Macaca fascicularis: one gene and its partners. The protein of the gene in region 4 binds, or shares a complex with, the protein of the main gene of each other region. Links are inferred from orthologs where the notes say so. Each region holds a gene or a part of one and is shown on either strand. Other genes may lie near its edges.

What was found.
Region 1: the proteins of GNAQ (region 4) and CASR are in contact, whole or in part, in a cryo-EM structure (PDB 8SZG), measured with the Homo sapiens proteins. The link is inferred for Macaca fascicularis from reciprocal best matches to the Homo sapiens genes GNAQ and CASR. Residues at the interface, in NP_002063.2 of Homo sapiens: His63, Leu196, Gln197, Ser198, Ile323, Tyr325, Ile337, Arg338, Phe339, Phe341, Ala342, Lys345, Asp346, Ile348, Leu349, Gln350, Leu351, Asn352, Leu353, Glu355, Tyr356, Leu358, Val359; in NP_000379.3 of Homo sapiens: Lys644, Ala645, Asn647, Arg701, Val702, Leu704, Val705, Phe706, Ala708, Lys709, Ile710, Pro711, Thr712, Phe714, Phe801, Arg873, Thr876, Ala877, His879, Ala880, Phe881, Val883, Ala884, Arg886, Ala887, Thr888, Leu889.
Region 2: the proteins of GNAQ (region 4) and F2RL1 are in contact, whole or in part, in a cryo-EM structure (PDB 9D0A), measured with the Homo sapiens proteins. The link is inferred for Macaca fascicularis from reciprocal best matches to the Homo sapiens genes GNAQ and F2RL1. Residues at the interface, in NP_002063.2 of Homo sapiens: Arg37, Ile323, Tyr325, Asp346, Ile348, Leu349, Gln350, Asn352, Leu353, Glu355, Tyr356, Asn357, Leu358, Val359; in NP_005233.4 of Homo sapiens: His108, Pro109, Ala110, Met114, Gln172, Arg173, Val176, Ile177, Pro180, Met181, Gly182, His183, Ser184, Arg185, Met265, Met268, Leu269, Met274, Asp275, Asn277, Lys280, Lys281, Arg284, Ala285, Leu288, Ile289, Tyr344, Tyr345, Val347, Ser348.
Region 3: the proteins of GNAQ (region 4) and PLCB3 are in contact, whole or in part, in a cryo-EM structure (PDB 8UQO), measured with the Homo sapiens proteins. The link is inferred for Macaca fascicularis from reciprocal best matches to the Homo sapiens genes GNAQ and PLCB3. Residues at the interface, in NP_002063.2 of Homo sapiens: Pro185, Thr186, Thr187, Ile189, Glu191, Pro193, Arg202, Gln209, Arg210, Ser211, Glu212, Arg213, Arg214, Lys215, Trp216, Ile217, His218, Val240, Glu241, Glu245, Glu249, Glu250, Ala253, Leu254, Arg256, Thr257, Ile258, Thr260, Tyr261; in NP_000923.1 of Homo sapiens: Pro257, Arg258, Leu259, Asn260, Glu261, Val262, Leu263, Arg707, Asp709, Lys710, Ile719, Asp721, Gly722, Ile723, Val724, Ala725, Ser845, Asp846, Tyr847, Ile848, Pro849, His852, Tyr855, Ala856, Ala858, Leu859, Ile860, Asn861, Pro862, Ile863.

The regions. Positions count from the first base shown.
Region 1 is NC_088376.1:161,062,860-161,066,940, reverse strand, and holds the start of CASR (extracellular calcium-sensing receptor), read left to right. Parts: upstream 1-1,246; 5' UTR 1,247-1,730; intron 1,731-1,887; exon of another isoform or gene 1,888-2,096; intron 2,097-4,081. UniProt on the Homo sapiens protein: G-protein-coupled receptor that senses changes in the extracellular concentration of calcium ions and plays a key role in maintaining calcium homeostasis.
Region 2 is NC_088380.1:80,791,374-80,795,732, forward strand, and holds the start of F2RL1 (proteinase-activated receptor 2), read left to right. Parts: upstream 1-1,503; 5' UTR 1,504-1,653; coding exon 1,654-1,735; exon of another isoform or gene 1,736-2,674; intron 2,675-4,359. UniProt on the Homo sapiens protein: Receptor for trypsin and trypsin-like enzymes coupled to G proteins.
Region 3 is NC_088388.1:10,129,074-10,132,632, reverse strand, and holds part of PLCB3 (1-phosphatidylinositol 4,5-bisphosphate phosphodiesterase beta-3), read left to right. Parts: intron 1-323; coding exon 324-477; intron 478-565; coding exon 566-601; intron 602-684; coding exon 685-877; intron 878-1,261; coding exon 1,262-1,415; intron 1,416-1,501; coding exon 1,502-1,578; intron 1,579-1,689; coding exon 1,690-1,779; intron 1,780-1,869; coding exon 1,870-1,927; intron 1,928-2,566; coding exon 2,567-2,653; intron 2,654-2,734; coding exon 2,735-2,938; 3' UTR 2,939-2,954; exon of another isoform or gene 2,955-3,292; intron 3,293-3,559. UniProt on the Homo sapiens protein: Catalyzes the production of the second messenger molecules diacylglycerol (DAG) and inositol 1,4,5-trisphosphate (IP3).
Region 4 is NC_088389.1:108,568,062-108,571,620, reverse strand, and holds part of GNAQ (guanine nucleotide-binding protein G(q) subunit alpha), read left to right. Parts: intron 1-2,596; coding exon 2,597-2,781; intron 2,782-3,559.

The DNA of each region.
Region 1 (4,081 bases), on a different chromosome or scaffold from region 4:
CCCTAAATACTGGAAACTGTATGCATAGTTTCTTCATCTTTACAATGGAAGCAATAATAGATCTTCAGAGTAATGCTTTCTTAAAGATAGTGCCCAGATTTGGACATTATGCCCAGGTGTAACCTGACCATTGAAGAGGATAAGTTCAGCCTAAGATTGCAGCCTCATTCAGGTTTTGAACTGAACTCATTCAGCCTTTGGGTGTTCACAAGGTTGTGCTTGTAGCCAACTAAAATAAAATCTAAGGTATTTTGATGTAGAGCACTACTGAGCCACATCCCCCATTACCAACTTGTATTGCTAGGTGTTTCGGCCTGAGGGAGGACTTCACGTTTATTCCTATTAACTAGATTTTCCTCCTTCCCTGGTTCTTTGGCATTTGCTCAGCTCCTTCTCCTACGCTGTATTTGAGGGAAAGGAAGCCAAATGGGTAGAATTGGGCCATAATGAGGATGTGTTTGACATGCTGGATTTGAGTCTGTGTTCCATTGAAGAAAAGAAATGGAAACTTTGTTGAGTATCCATTCTGTACTAGGCACTTTCCTTGACTATTTCATTGAACACTCCAAGGACCCCTTGAGGTAGATGTTATGGCCGATTTGCAGAGAAGAAATCTGCATTTTTATTTGAAGTTATTAAACATGGGTAAATGACCCAATTTTCTGCTTTTTGCTTAACAATAATTTGCAAACATTTTATCATGTTACTTCATGTTTCCCTTTTTTTCTTTATAAATAAATACATACTCCCTCCTTATTCTAAAAAGAATTTGAAGCACTTCTGTCTTGATGTTTATCATTTTAACGGTTGTATAATATCCCATTAAGTCACCCTAATTTACTCAACCAGTTTCCTACTGTTGACAGTTTGGCTCTGTTTACTTTTTGTGGTTTTCAAATTTTTTTTCTGTAGTAAATGATCCTCCTAAAAAACATCTCCGCATGAATGTTATTTTGTTCTGGAAATTTCCCCAAGCATGGAATACTGCATTAAAGGGGATATTTTTGGTGTTTCTTTATAGAGACTAGCAAATTGCCCACCCAAAGGAGTATGCTTTATTTGAGGGTAAAAAGCCAAACACACACACACACACACGCAAATGGTTTTCTACAAAAGAAATTAATTTTCCACTTATTCATAAAATATTCTAGTGCTGTGATGGGTGGCAGGCACCTTGCCAGGGGCTAGGGACAAGGATAAGCAAGGCCAGGTCGGGGCCTCCAAGCAGCGAGCTGTGGAGTCGGGTAGAACAGGCGCCTGGCTGCAGCCAGGGAGGATCGCGCGCCCTTTCGCGCAGGAGAGTGGAAGCAGGGAGCTGTTTGTCAGCACCGAGGTAACGCTTGACCTGAGTCTTGCACAATAAGTAAGAGTTTGGGCACGCGATTTGTATTTATTTTATTGTGAATCTCTGGCCTTATATCAGAAAAAAAAAAAAAAAATTGTGCCACCCTCGGCACAGAGAACGTTGGTGGCGTCGTAAGCCCTCTAAGTCTCTTTCCATCGCCAAGGAGTAGGGGTCCGGGAAGAGGACCTCCCCGACAGCAGGCAGCAGGAACAGGATTTGGGAGCCGGGAACCCCTGGCTCGGCACGGAAGAGGGCAGGAGAGGACCTGAGCGCGGGGCTCACCGTCTGCTGGGGACCCGAGCCGGCGTGTGGCCCTCGGGGAACGGAAGACGCGCCCTCAGCGACCCTGAAGAGTCAGCTAAGCTATCTGCGGGCTAAGGAGACGGTGAGGGAACGGGGACTAACTGGGGTGGGGGTTAGAGGGCAGCTCGCGAGTGGGCTCCAAGGGGAGCTGGGCTCAGCAGTCCGGGACCCCGAGGGGGCAAGCGGGCGGGGAGCACGAGAGGGGCGGAGCTCCGGGGCCAGGGCCGCCGCGGCTGCCCAGAGGGTCTGCGGGGGCTGCTGCGGCCGGTCCCGAAGGCGGGCGCAGGGAGTGCAGTGAGCCATGCGCACCTCTCCGAGACCGTGACCTTCGCATAGGGAGCAGGGTCCGCGCGCCGTCCTGAGATCAGACACAAGCCCAGCCTCGTGAAGACCCACGGCCGAGGGGCTGGAGCTGCCTCTGTGCGAGGGAGCCCTGGCCAAGGCGCTGGTAGGACCAGGGAACCCGAGGAGGGCGGGCGGAAAGCGCCCCCAGTGGGGGAGGGGCCGTGGCGGGGTCTGGGGGCCAAGGGCTCGGGGCCGAACGAGGGGCACACGCCGGAGCAGCTCCAGCCTGGGAGCATTGGGCGTGAACGTGGGGGAAAGTAGGGACCACATTATAGGATCAAGGCTTTCCCCGGCTCAGAACTGGACTGTTCAGTGTCCCCTAGAAGGGGCAGCGGGTCACCTACGCCAATGAACGGGAGTGCACACCAAAACGCCTGCTGTCGGTAGTTTCTTGTGCCTCTGCCTTGCTTCTGCCTGTGATGTAGTCAGAAAGGACTCGCTCTCCATGTGTTAACAAGGGGACAGGTAGCTTCACAGAGTGTATGAATATGGAGGGGAGGGCCACGGCGTCAGCTCTGGCCCCAGGGGCCGTCAGTGTCCCTGCAGAATTCCTGGTCCAAGCCGCCAGAATTCCTTGGGGACTTTGCTTCAGTGGCATCAAATTAGACTGTCAGTTCCCGGGGCCTGATCACCAGCCTCCGTATGTATTTCCTGGGGAGAAAAAGCATACCAGACTGATGGAGTCTTATCATTATTTTAACATTATAGCTTTCAATAGATAACATGCATATATTTATTTTTTAAGTCAAATAATACAAACATTTATCTTCTAGAGGCACTGCCTGCACTAGCATGTGTCTATTGCTATCTCCTTTCTATACTCATAGCCTTTCACACTCTACATGTTCTGTCGCCGTCTTTTGATTCTTTAGCCAGAAAATGATGTCACCACCACTGCCCACATCCTTTAATCTCCAGTGTTCCTTCTCGCAACGCCTATCTTGTCCTCAAATGTTTTTCACAAGGTGTTCCTCAGGGTAGGGAGCCCACTAACGAGAAGACATTTCATTTACTTGCTTCAACTATCCCAGAGATCTGAAGAAAAGGCACATTGGGGAACAGTCCATGACAAGTTCTAAACACACCTATCTTTCCCCTTAAACTGGATCTTCCAAGTGCAGTTTAGGTAGTCTGTTATTGAGAGGAAATAATGCAGGCTGTTTTCTGAAATGCTCTGGATTTCCAGAACTTAACACCACAGCAGTTCCTATTCCTTAAAACAGAACTTCATCAGTCACACCTTGCTGTTGCTTTTCCCGTCTCCACTCCAGGATCCCCTAACTGGTCTGCCTAGGATTTTTTCCTCTGTAGGAACCTGGGACACCGGGTGCTTTATACCTGCCTGGGAGGTGTTCCATGAAGGGCCTGAGGGACAAAGCTTTGTGGTGGACAAGGTGGGAGGGGAAGATGTAGGGGAAGTTGGAGGGGAAGTAGAAAGGAAGAAGCAGGCCAAGACCCTTGAGTGCAGAAGACTCCTCAAGCACAGAGCCCTGTCATTTAGGAACAGTCCCCATATAATTTGCTAAGAGACCACACATGCAGGTTACTTCCTGCCAACAATCAGTACAGTCAGCTCTGTTTCAAGACTTCTATGTTAGGCCAAAACATAGTAAGTGAAAACAATCAGCAAATCAACCAGTTTTTGTCTCTATGATAAAACAGAGTGGTTGAAACTAAATTAATTTAAAAAATTTTTTTACTGAATTAGCGGGTTCTTTAGGAGCTGTGTCCATTGTTTAAAATCACCTAATAGGTACTCCAGTCTCCACATTTTTCCTTTATTTTGTTTATCTTTTCATATTGCATAACCTTGAACTGGATCCCAACCATGTCAGAAAGTTCAGGCTGATTAGAAGCTGCCGCTTCTAAGACTTTTTGGTGGGAGAGAGTGGGGAGGAGAGGATGAGAAAATAATGACTGATCCTTGTGATAGGGTAGGTGTATAATGAAGAGGAAGAAGTTGACTACAAGTTTGAGACTGGTGAGGAGTCGCATATAATTCTTAAGGTAACAGGGGAATGAGTAAGAAGTAAACAAAATTGTTCATCATTCATCATTCAAAATGTTTATAGAGTGCCTGGCTATGTA
Region 2 (4,359 bases), on a different chromosome or scaffold from region 4:
CAGTGGGGAGGATCACATGAAGCCAGGAGTTCCAGACCAGACTGGACAAGATAGGGAGACCCCATTTCTATTTTCTAATATAAATTAACATAAAAAAGAGAGAAAATTTCTTTATACATTGAGCTGAAATTAAACCCCACTGTGGCTTCCACCTATTTTTGCTCTCTGGGGCTACTCAAAACACATCCAAATCCTCTTCTACAAGCGAATCCTTCAAATATTTGAAAACACCTATGTCTCCCTTCTGTGCTCTTCCGATACCAATGGTTTAAATTGGTAACAGTAGACTTTGTTTTAATAGATCTTCTAAAAAGCAAATAAAAAGTAAGGCATGCTGGGTGCGGTGGCTCATGCCTGTAATCTCAGCACTTTGGGAGGTGCAAGTGGGCGGATCACAAGATCAGGAGTTCGAGACTAGCCTGACCAACATGGTGAAACCCGTCTCTACTAAAAATACAAAAATTAGCCAGATGTGGTGGTGCACGCCTGTAACCCCAGCTGCTTGGGAGGCTAAAGAATTGCTTGAACTCAGGAGGCGGAGGTTGCAGTGAGCCGAGATGGCGCCACTGCACTCCAGCCTGGGAAACAGAACGAGATTCCGACTCGAAGAAAAAAAAAAAAAGTAAGACATTACCAATATGATGCAAACCCTCAAGCACTCATGCACTTATCCCCAACCCCACACTTCTCCTCTCCCACCCCTTCTATCTGCTCATGTATTTATTTAGCCTATGGGATCCCAATACAGAGGAGCCCTGATGGACGCATTTATAGTGCAGCAATGAATAGAAGACAGTGGCAGTCTTAGACTAGAGTTGAAATGTGATAAACATTTATATACTGTGTTTATAAACCGTGTAACTCTAACCAATTTATCTAGTCTTTCTAAGCTCAATTTCCTCGTCCGTAAAATGGGAAGAATAATCATACTTATCGCGCTGGTTGTTATAGGGATTAAACAAGATAATTCTCTAAAGCTTTGGCACTTGGCGCTGAAAGGAGCCATTCCATGTCTTCTTTCCCGCCCCGCCCCTTGTGCTCCCCACCGCTTTCGTGGTGTCCGCAGCTGCAGCTGCCTCTACAACAAAAAACGCATCCCTCCTCCTGCAGTGTCCACCGCACCGGGAAGCCCTCTCTGTATCAGTTACCAACCACAATTGCAGTGAGTTCGGATCGTGGCTTTCCCATAGTCAGGAAAAGTGAGGGAAACGGACGACCCGGTTCTCTAGGAGTAAGTAAAGGTTAAAGGTAGTTCGCGGCATAACCCAGGCCGGGATTAACCCGAGGTCCCAGCGCTCCTGCTATTTGCATTCCAAAGCGGACACCTCATGCGCTCAACCCCGCCCGCAGGCGGCTCCAGCAGTCTAGAAGACCTGGCGCGCGTCCGGGGACCCGGGGGAGCAGCCGCGCAAGGCAGGTGACCGGGGGCGGGGCCAGGGCCCTCGTTCCGGTCCCGGGGCGTGGCCTCCCGCAGGTGAGTCCAGCGGCGCCTGGGGTTTCCCTGAAACCTAACCCGCCCTGGGGAGGAGCGCAGAGGCTGCGATTAGGGACAGACGAGAGGCTGACTTTCTCTCGGTGCGTCCAGTGGAGCTCTGAGTTTCGAATCGGTGGCGGCGGATTCCCAGCGCGCCCGGCGTCGGGGCTTCGGGGAGGATGTGGCGCCCCAGCGCGGCGTGGCTGCTGGGGGCCGCCATCCTGCTGGCAGCCTCTGTCTCCTGCAATGGCATCATCCAAGGTGAGAAACGTGGCCAAGGAGGGCTCTTATCGCTGAGGAGCTGGGGTCCTGGGCACGCTGGGCAGACGGTGATCCGGGCAGGTGCGCGAAAGGGGTTCTGCTGCCGGCACCCATCTCCACGAATCCCTTAGCCTCTCCTTGGTGGCTTTGATGGGGGGTCTCTGCGCCAAGGAGGCACCCAGGTGGGACATGCGGGAGCAGCTGAAGTTGGCAGAGCCCGGCAGAGGCAGAGACTTCCCCAAAGACCCTACTTCCCGTAGAGGCTGTCATGCTGGGCACCCCCAGGCGCCAGCGTGGGTTCGGGGAAAGGGAGTGAAGGAAGGAGTAGCTGTGTCTAAAGGGTACCCAGAGGACCCAGTCCCCTCCCCGGGCTTGGTTGCTTTATAAACACTAAGTCGTTAAGAGCTTTTCGCTTAGTTTCCTCTCGCTCCCGCGGGGCCGGTGGAGTTAGCGAGCTGATTGCGCAGGGCAGGGCGGAGTGGGTGGGAACCGGCGGAGTGGGTGGGAACCCGCGGCCCGGGAGCCTTCTAAATTGTTTTTTGCGCCCCCCTCCCCCAACTACTGGAAGCCTTTCTTCGGGTTCTGCCCCTGGCGTTCGAGATCCACCCGGGGCCCGCGGCTCCTGGCACCCACGGTGGAAGGCCCGGGGTATGAAATTCAGGGCTGGACTCTGCTGGGTTCTGGTGGTAATGAGCGCTCAGGCCCGTTGGGCGTCACGAGGATTTACGAGCGGAACTTTTTGGACGCTGCCTTATATTTGACCAGTTGACTCTCTGGGCCTTGGGTTCCGGGACTTGCCTAGTGTGCCACCCGGAGCGACCACTGGCTGCCACCCAGGTCTGCAGGCCGGAGGCTGGCCGCCCTGGGAACAGAGCAGCACTTGCGCCCGGCCGCCGCGTTCCTTGGGTGTGCTGCTCCGGGTTTGCTCGAACTTGTACTGCTCGGAATGTGTTCTTCCGGGCCCAGCAGGCCTCGCTGTAGCTGTGGGGGATGTTTGACTTGCGGTCGCGCCACTGTGATCCTAACCGAGGCCCCGCTGTTTGGGGCAGCCTGGGTAGCAAAGGGAGGTTTTAATTTCCCTCAGATGTTCAGACTTGCTGTAAAAGGCATTTCTCACTTTTATCCACCTCTTCATAAAGAGGAGGTAAAAGAGCAAGTCGCAGTGGGTTGGAATTAGATGGAAGAATGTGATTCTTTTCCCTCTTCACTTAGGGAAAAGGGTGTTGTGTAAGCTTGAAAACTGTGCACTGCTGATATATTTTTTATTAATCAGCATCAGAATAAAGGCATTTAGTTCCAGGAAGTATTGAAAACTGTAATAAACACCTCTCCTCTATGTCCTTTAAAGTTGGGAACTTAAAATTCAGGAGCAAAGGTTAGTATGTGCAAACTTTAAAAAAATACGTGTTGGTATAAATGATTCAACATCTTTATGATTCAGAGGTCCCCCTAGGAAGCATGCCCCGATTATTTGGCTTGTTCTTGTTTACCCCTCTTGATAGGGGATTGGGAGATCCCTGGAGTATAAGGCGAACTTGATTTGACAACAAGGAAAAATCAGGTTACTTGTTAACTAGAGCCACTTAATATTGCACCTTGTTCCTCATCCTCCCCCCACCATACTTTTATTCCCTTGCAGGGTAACTTTCCCAAAGGGTTCGCGAAGTAACACTGAGAATTGATTTAGGCAGATGGAGCTTTCCTCCCACCTTAAAACTAAACTGATTTTAGTAAATACCGTGTCAGCAAAGCTTTTCTGCCCTCAGGGTAGATCTTTGCTCACTGCCTTTTAACCAGTCCTTCTGCATGCCCCTCAGGTGGCTGCAAGGCCGATTTGGGGTTTGATTTTCTTCCCAAAGCCTCACTCCGAAAGACTGCCTCATAGAAAGGAACTCAGCCTAGATCACAGCCTTCTCAGGGTACAGGTGAGGGACACTGAATAGGGGAGGAGGCAAGGCAAGGAAAACACTTGGAAGTCGCGGCCCCTCTTTCCCCTCACAATAGTAATTGGTAATTATTTGGGTAAATATGTTTAATACATGTCCTCACTGCATCGTTAACTCCTGGAGGCAGGGGACCCTACCATCCTTTCCATCATGTCTAGCATAGTCTCATCACCTATGGGACCTCAGTAAATAGCAGATGAATGAAGTGAGGAGTCTTGCCCAGAGTACCCTGGCTGGTCCATGTGGTGTTCATTTCAGTCAGCTTCTCTCTGCCACTTACTTATTTTTTCCCACCATTTTACAGGCCTAGGTCATTCCATTTATCTTTTTGAGACTGGAACTTCTGTTTTCTTTATAATTGGTTTGGTGTTTTTTTTGTTGTTGTTGTTTTGTTTTTTGAGTCTCATTCTGTTGCCCAGGCTGGAGTGCAGTGGTGCGATTTTGGCTCATTGCAACCTCCATCTCTCCCTGGCTCAAGGAAATCTCCTGCCTCAGCCTCCCAAGTAGCTGGGACTACAGGCATGCACTGCCACCCCCAGGTAATTTTTTTTTTAGAGGGAGTCTCTCTCTGTCACCCAGGCTGGAGTGCAGTGGCATGATTTCAGCTCACTGCAACCTCCGCCTCCCGGGTTCAAGCAATTCTCCTGTCTCAGCCTCCTGAGTAGCTGGGGCTACAGG
Region 3 (3,559 bases), on a different chromosome or scaffold from region 4:
GGCAAGCCTGGGGGACACAGGCAGGGGAGGAGAGGAGGCTTGGGCCTGGGCCAGGCCTTTCCAGAACAATCTGGGTGTTCCTGAGCGCATGCAGTGGGCTGGCATTATGTTATCTTCCCCACAGCCCATGTGGAAAAGGGGTTTAGAAAGGCTTGATTTATAGCTCTTTTCATGCAGACAGCCTCCTGTTACAGAGCAGCCCAGCAGTGGCTTGGACTAAGGGAAGCTGCCAGGGGTGCTAGGGGCCCCGGGAGGTGGTAGAGGACAGAAGGGTCTGGAGGGAACAGCATTTCTGGAAAGAGCATTCTCCTTTCTCCCTATAGGCTCAGGCTGGCCAAGAGATGTGCCAGGACACCCAGTCTCAGCAGCTGGGGTCTCAGCTGTCCCCAAACCCCACCCCTAGCCCACTGGATGCCTCCCCCCGCCGGCCCCCCGGCCCCACCGCCTCCCCTGCCAGCACCTCCCTCAGCAGCCCAGGTAAGGAGCAGCTCGGGTCAGGGGTGGGCTGCAGGGAGGTGCCCCACCACCCTGTCCTTCAGCTCCTCACAGGGCCTCTGCTCCCTAGGGCAGCGCGACGATCTCATCGCCAGCATCCTCTCAGGTAGGGGGCGGGGTACCTGGAGGCCGGGGGGCTGCCTTGCAGTTTCCCCCACCCCCCGCCTACCTTTCCTCTGCCACTCCCAGAGGTGGCCCCCACCCCGCTGGATGAGCTCCGAGGTCACAAGGCTCTGGTCAAGCTCCAGAGCCGGCAAGAGCGAGACCTGCGGGAGCTGCGCAAGAAGCATCAGCGGAAGGCAGTCACCCTCACCCGCCGCCTGCTGGATGGCCTGGCTCAGGCACAGGCTGAGGGCAGGTGCCGGCTGCGGCCAGGTGCCCTGTGAGTGTCTGGGCCGCCTGTGTGCTATGTGTGCTGGGTGCACTGAAGTGAACATGGGGGTCGGTGGGCATGGAGAGATGGCAAGAGCCGCTCCTTGACCCCCAGGGAGGAGGGTTCGGGTGCAAGGATGGAGGAGGCTTTCTACACCAGGCACCTCCGTGTCCCCCAGGGAGTGACATCTCTTTTGAAGTCCATGAGGAGTGTGTTGCCCAAACAGGCTCCCATCACTTGTGTGGAGCTAACAGGCCTCCTGGTTTGCATAACAGACCTGGCCCCATGGGGTGGTGTCTGCCATCGCTTGCCGGGGTGTGCCCCCCCACACACCCTCCCCATCCCAGTTCATGTGACGGACCCAAGCATCACCCAGAGGGGTTCTCCTCGCAGAGGCGGGGCCGCTGATGTGGAGGACACGAAGGAGGGGGAGGACGAGGCAAAGCGGTATCAGGAGTTCCAGAACAGACAGGTGCAGAGCCTGCTGGAGCTGCGGGAGGCCCAGGTGGACGCAGAGGCCCAGCGGAGGCTGGAGCATCTGAGACAGGTAGGAGGCCTGCAGTGGCCAGGGAAAGCCTCCTGGATAGACTGGTCATCGACCCGGCATCACCTGTCGGCTCCCTGTGTCCATAGGCTCTGCAGCGGCTCAGGGAGGTCGTCCTTGATGCAAACACAACTCAGTTCAAGAGGCTGAAAGAGATGAACGAGAGGTGAAGGCCTAGGATTGTCTATGGGAAGGGCTGGGGACTTCTAATACAGAAGGAAGGCAGAGTCTGTGCTTCTGCCGCTGACCCCTCCTTTTTCCCTGCTGGCTTCTCAAGGGAAAAGAAGGAACTGCAGAAGATCCTGGACAGAAAGCGCCATAACAGCATCTCGGAGGCCAAGACGAGGGACAAGCATAAGAAGGAGGCGTAAGGGCACCAGGGCCGGGGGCCACCTGGGTACTGGGGAGGCAGGGCGGGTGTCTGGGCCCCGAGCCATCCTGCATTGCTCCTGTGCAGGGAACTGACGGAGATTAACCGTCGGCACATCACTGAGTCAGTCAACTCCATCCGTCGGGTGAGTTGGGCTCCTGGGCCACCCTACCCCACGTCCCTTCCTTCACTCATCAGACACCCTTCTCCGTGCCTGGCCTGGTGCCACGTTGCCCTCAAAGTTCTTCTAGAGCCTTTCTCGAGTGCCCAACAGCTCCAGGGTACCCGCTTCATACCCAAAGCCAACTGTCTGCACCAGTGCCCCTGGCTTTGGTGTCCTTGGGCCCAGTCCTTTCACAAACCTGATACATCACCCTGGGAGCCTTCACCCACCTGACTTCCTTTATTTTTCTTTGAGACAGAGTCTCACTTTGTCACCCAGGCCGGAGTGCAGTGGTGCGATCTTGGCTCACTGCAACCTCTGCCTCTTGGGTTCAAGCAATTCTCTTGCCTCAGCCTCCCAAGTAGCTGGGATTACAGGCGTCCGCCACTACGCCTGGCTAATTTTTGTATTTTTAGTAGAGATGGGGTTTCACCATGTTGGCCAGGCTGGTCTGGAACTCCTGACCTCAGGTGATCTGCCCACCTCGGCCTCCCAAAGTGCTGGGATTACAGGTGTGAGCCACTGCGCCTGGCCTTGCCCACCTGACTTCTATACCCAGCCAGAGCCTCGAGGCCCTAGCCCCTCAGGGCCCCTCAGCTGAGCCCTTGCCCACCCCTGTAGCTGGAGGAGGCCCAGAAGCAGCGGCATGACCGTCTTGTGGCTGGGCAGCAGCAGGTCCTGCAACAGCTGGCAGAAGAGGAGCCCAAGGTGAGGCCATGGGCGAACAGGCGGGCAGATGGGGTGCAAGGCAGCCAGGCCTCGCCTGTGATGCCCGTCCTCCTCCCACAGCTGCTGGCCCAGCTGGCCCAGGAGTGTCAGGAGCAGCGGGCGAGGCTCCCCCAGGAGATCCGCAGGAGCCTGCTGGGCGAGATGCCGGAGGGGCTGGGGGATGGGCTTCTGGTGGCCTGTGCCAGCAACGGTCACGCACCTGGGAGCAGCGGGCACCTGTCGGGCGCTGACTCGGAGAGCCAGGAGGAGAACACGCAGCTCTGAACTGGCTGAGCAAGAGGTGGCCACAGGGCCAGGGTGGGCGCTGGGTGGAGGGCAGGAGGCAACGACACTAATGCTTTTTTTTTTTTAACTTTTTATCTAGAAATTTTATTTTTTTAAACCTGGGGCAAGTACCTGAGCTAACTCCCTTCATCCTCCTGGGGCCCCTCCTTCCTGCCCTCAGTCTTAGGTTAGGGCCCTGGTCAGGGCTTTGCTCCCCGTGACACCCACACCCTCGAGGTAGCAGTGTCTCCTCCCTTCCCTGGGAGAGCTGCTGGAGCTTCAGGAAGTAGGTGTCACATTTTTTCTCTATTCTTTGAGGATTTTTTTTACATGAATAAAAGTGGATTTCAGGGACCCTGTGTGCAGTGTGATTTGGGGTGAGAGGACTCTGTACGTTTCCTCATCTGTAAAATGGGCTTTGGGTGTTTGGTGGGGTTGAGGGCACGCCTCCAGCCAAGGACTGCTGGGTTGAACCTGAGCCTGCCCTGCCGAGTCTGCTGAGCTTCCCTGTTCCTGTTCCTCCATCCCCACGACTTTCATCTCTCCGAAGCTCTCCCTGTTCTCTCTTCGCTGAGGCTCGGGCCTCTGCTTCAGGAAGCCTTCCCTGCCCCGCTTCCTGTG
Region 4 (3,559 bases):
TTCCTGTTGGCTAAACCCAAGCAGAAGGCAGAGTATAACAAAGCTGTTGAAATCCCTATTGGTCAGCCTCCTGGGGGTACCCAGCAAGATGAGATGGTGGAGAAAGGATCCCTGGGCGTGTTTCTGGCAACAGGAAAATATCTTAGGGTTGATTGTTTGATTGTTTTTTCTTTTCTTTTAATTTCTCCTAATTCACTTATCAGTCACATGTTTGGCCCCTACTTGGAGTCTACATTAGTGTGATATCCAGTGTGTGGACAGTGCCCAGGGACTTGGTGACTAGATCCAAAGAAGTGCCAAATGTTGACTGCTCTTGCCCAAAGTGATTTCAATTAACCACATACCAGTGTGCTTATACTTCATGTGATACTTTCTCTTTTTTTGTGGGGGTAGGGTAGTTACAAGTATATGCAGGTGACCAGGAGAAAAAAGGTCCTGTTGCCTGATATTAACCTCACAAATCAGGATTTCTTCTGTTTTTATTGTGAATTAATGGTTGTTTACACTTAGGCCCTCAGAGCAAGCCTTTGGCTGTGGGATCGTGATAATAAAGAAGCAATCTATGGGAGAGTAAATATACTAGTTTCTGCAAATCATTGGTTGATAATGAGAAACAATTTTAGTAGCTTCATTTCTATTAGAGAAATGGTAGGTTTCAGCCACTTTATGCTTTTGTCCACTATTCATGTTGGAATTATAAAATACTCATTTTAAACTTTCTGAATTAATCCTGTTAAATTGGGGTGATAGCATTCACATTACAGCTGTTAATTTATATTTCTACGAGTTCCAGATCACTTTACTAAAAGTAATAGGGAAATTATTATAAAGGAATCAGCCACTGCAGGACTCTATGGCTAGAAATACCTTTCATTGTAACTGTGTGAGGGCTATGTATTTACCAAGACATCTGCAGTCATTTAAGAGGCTTCTATGAAAACTGTAATACTTAATTGAAATTTTGTGATTGTTTATAAAGATAGTAATGAAATCCAACCATCAGAAAAACAAAATGAATTTAGGACAGATGGCATATTACTAGCTTTTATTTTTTTTCTCCCTCCTTCCTTCCTTCTCTCTCTTCCTCCTTTCCTTCCTTTCTCTCTCTCTTCCTTTCCTTCCCTTTCTTTCTTTGTTTTTCTCAGCTTTGTAGTGAGGAAATGGCATTAAGGACCCTGGTGATAATGGCCATTGTGTGTTTCATTCTGTTATTCCGTCTTTAATATCCAAATTGGCACTTTTATTTTCTTCATATTTTTGGGGTAAGATAAAGACAGTTACTGTTTTGGAGATCTCAAGGAAATTTGAGAGGGAGTGAGAAACAGGCCCTGAGAAAGGACACATGAAAATGACCACTTACATTTAGAAAAATGAAGTTTTTCGATTTGGATTCATTGTAGAAGAAATATGCTGTCATTTTGTGAAGTGATCCCATTTTTCTGTCTTGTCTTCTTCCCAGCGACATGCATAGCTCTGTTAGGGATTACCTTCAGGCTTATGGTAACAGAAAAGTAATATTGAAGATGTGAAAAAGGAGATAGCACAGAAGGAAAAAAAGCTAATCACAATAAAAAGAAGGAAAAAAAGCTAATCACAATACATTTCTATATAATGTTACTAGTCAAGAATGGGGAGAGAGAAGAAGAACCACCGTTGCTTTCCTGAATTAGGTGATTCCTTGGAATAACTCAGTCAACCAGCCCCCTACCAGAAATAAATTCAGGGGATATGTGGTATCTAGAAAAATGATTCTTCTTCTTGCCTTACCAGGATACTGTGTTCTTATGCCTCATTTTAATATTGGAGAAAATGGGCTGGGTGTTGAGAGGCAAGGCTGGTGCACCCCTTGAGGCTAGGAGTTCACAGCCAGCCCAGTCAACCTAGTGAGAACCTGTCTCTACAGAAATTTAAAAAAAAAAAAAAAAATTAGCTGGGCATGGTAGTGCATGCTTGTAGTTCCAGCTACTTGGGAGGCTGAGGTGGGAGGATCAAGAGACTGAGATGCGATTTCTTTATCTTAGGAGTTCAAGGCTGCAGTAAGCTATGATCACACCACTGCGTTCCAGCCTGCGTTACAGAGCAAGACCCTGTGTCTAAAAAAAATAAAATAGAGAACGTGTCTAGAAATTTTTAGGCCTTTTTTTTCTTATCTCTGTCTGAATACCTTTTGTGTAAGTGCACTGTCATTTCCAGATTCAAATCCTGGCTAATCAACCCAGTGTCCTGGAAGCGTTTCAGATATTCTCCAGGGAACAGAGCTTTATCAGGTTTTACCATGTTCAAAAGATGCTGTTGTCATTGTTTCTTGCAAGATACATGGTTACAAATGACTATCAAAATTCAGTGCTGAGTGGTTTCCAAAGAGGTGACAGGTTTGGGTTTTTTGTTGTTGTTGTTGGAGGTCATCTGCCTTTGAAATATACTCTCTCCCTCTAATTTTGCTGAATGTTCACCATAGGTAGCGTTTCCAATTCTAGAATTGCTCCTCTCAGCAGGCCATCTGGGGATGCTAAACCAAGGCATGGTATTTGGTTTAGTTATCTGAGAGACTGAGATGGCGCTGTGGTCTGATGAGCTGCTATTGTTCCTCTTTCAGGGACAGGAGAGAGTGGCAAGAGTACGTTTATCAAGCAGATGAGAATCATCCATGGGTCAGGATACTCTGATGAAGATAAAAGGGGCTTCACCAAGCTGGTGTATCAGAACATCTTCACGGCCATGCAGGCCATGATCAGAGCCATGGACACACTCAAGATCCCGTACAAGTATGAGCACAATAAGGTAGGTGCGACTCTTCATCGGAGCAGTCGGCTGAATGGTCCAGGTGTTCACAATAGTGTGACAACACGAGTAGTGTCTTCACATGTCTGGAGTGCATAGGGGGATTTGGAAATATACATTTTCCATCCCATCATAAATGAGACTTTTAATAGATAATAAGTTTTTGATAAATGTCTTTTTCCTAAACCTCTAGAGTTACACCTATAAAAAACAGATTTTTATTTTTAGTGATGTCAATGAAAGGCATATTTGGATGTTCAGCAATAAATATTTTCAGGTTTAAAATTTGGGGAAGCACATTATGTTAAGGAGACAGTTTGTTAAGTATCATAAATTGGCCAAAGTCAGGGATTTCAAAGAGGTGGTGGTGGCCTTGCTTTTTAACAAATTGAAAAAAGAATGAAAACAACTTAAAACCATTCAGTCTGGTTTAACTTTGAATTTTGTGATTTTCTTTCAGTAGTACCACAGGCTTCATTTGATTTCAAAATAGGCCCATCGATCACTTCCAATAACCTTTCCAACACATTTCCCTGCCATTGTGTTAAAGTAACAGAAACTTCTAAAACCACTTGAAAAAGGATTGGGGGAAAAACCCCTCAAAGTTTAGCTTTTTAGAAAATAAGCACACTTCCAGTATCCTCTAGCATTATTTCTTGGTTGAAGTAAAATACCATCCCCCTTCTCCCCAACATGAAAATAAATGCTATAATTGCCCATCCTCTAAATATTAAAGAGATGTAATACCAAACAAGATTGGTATATCTGAGGGTTGCCC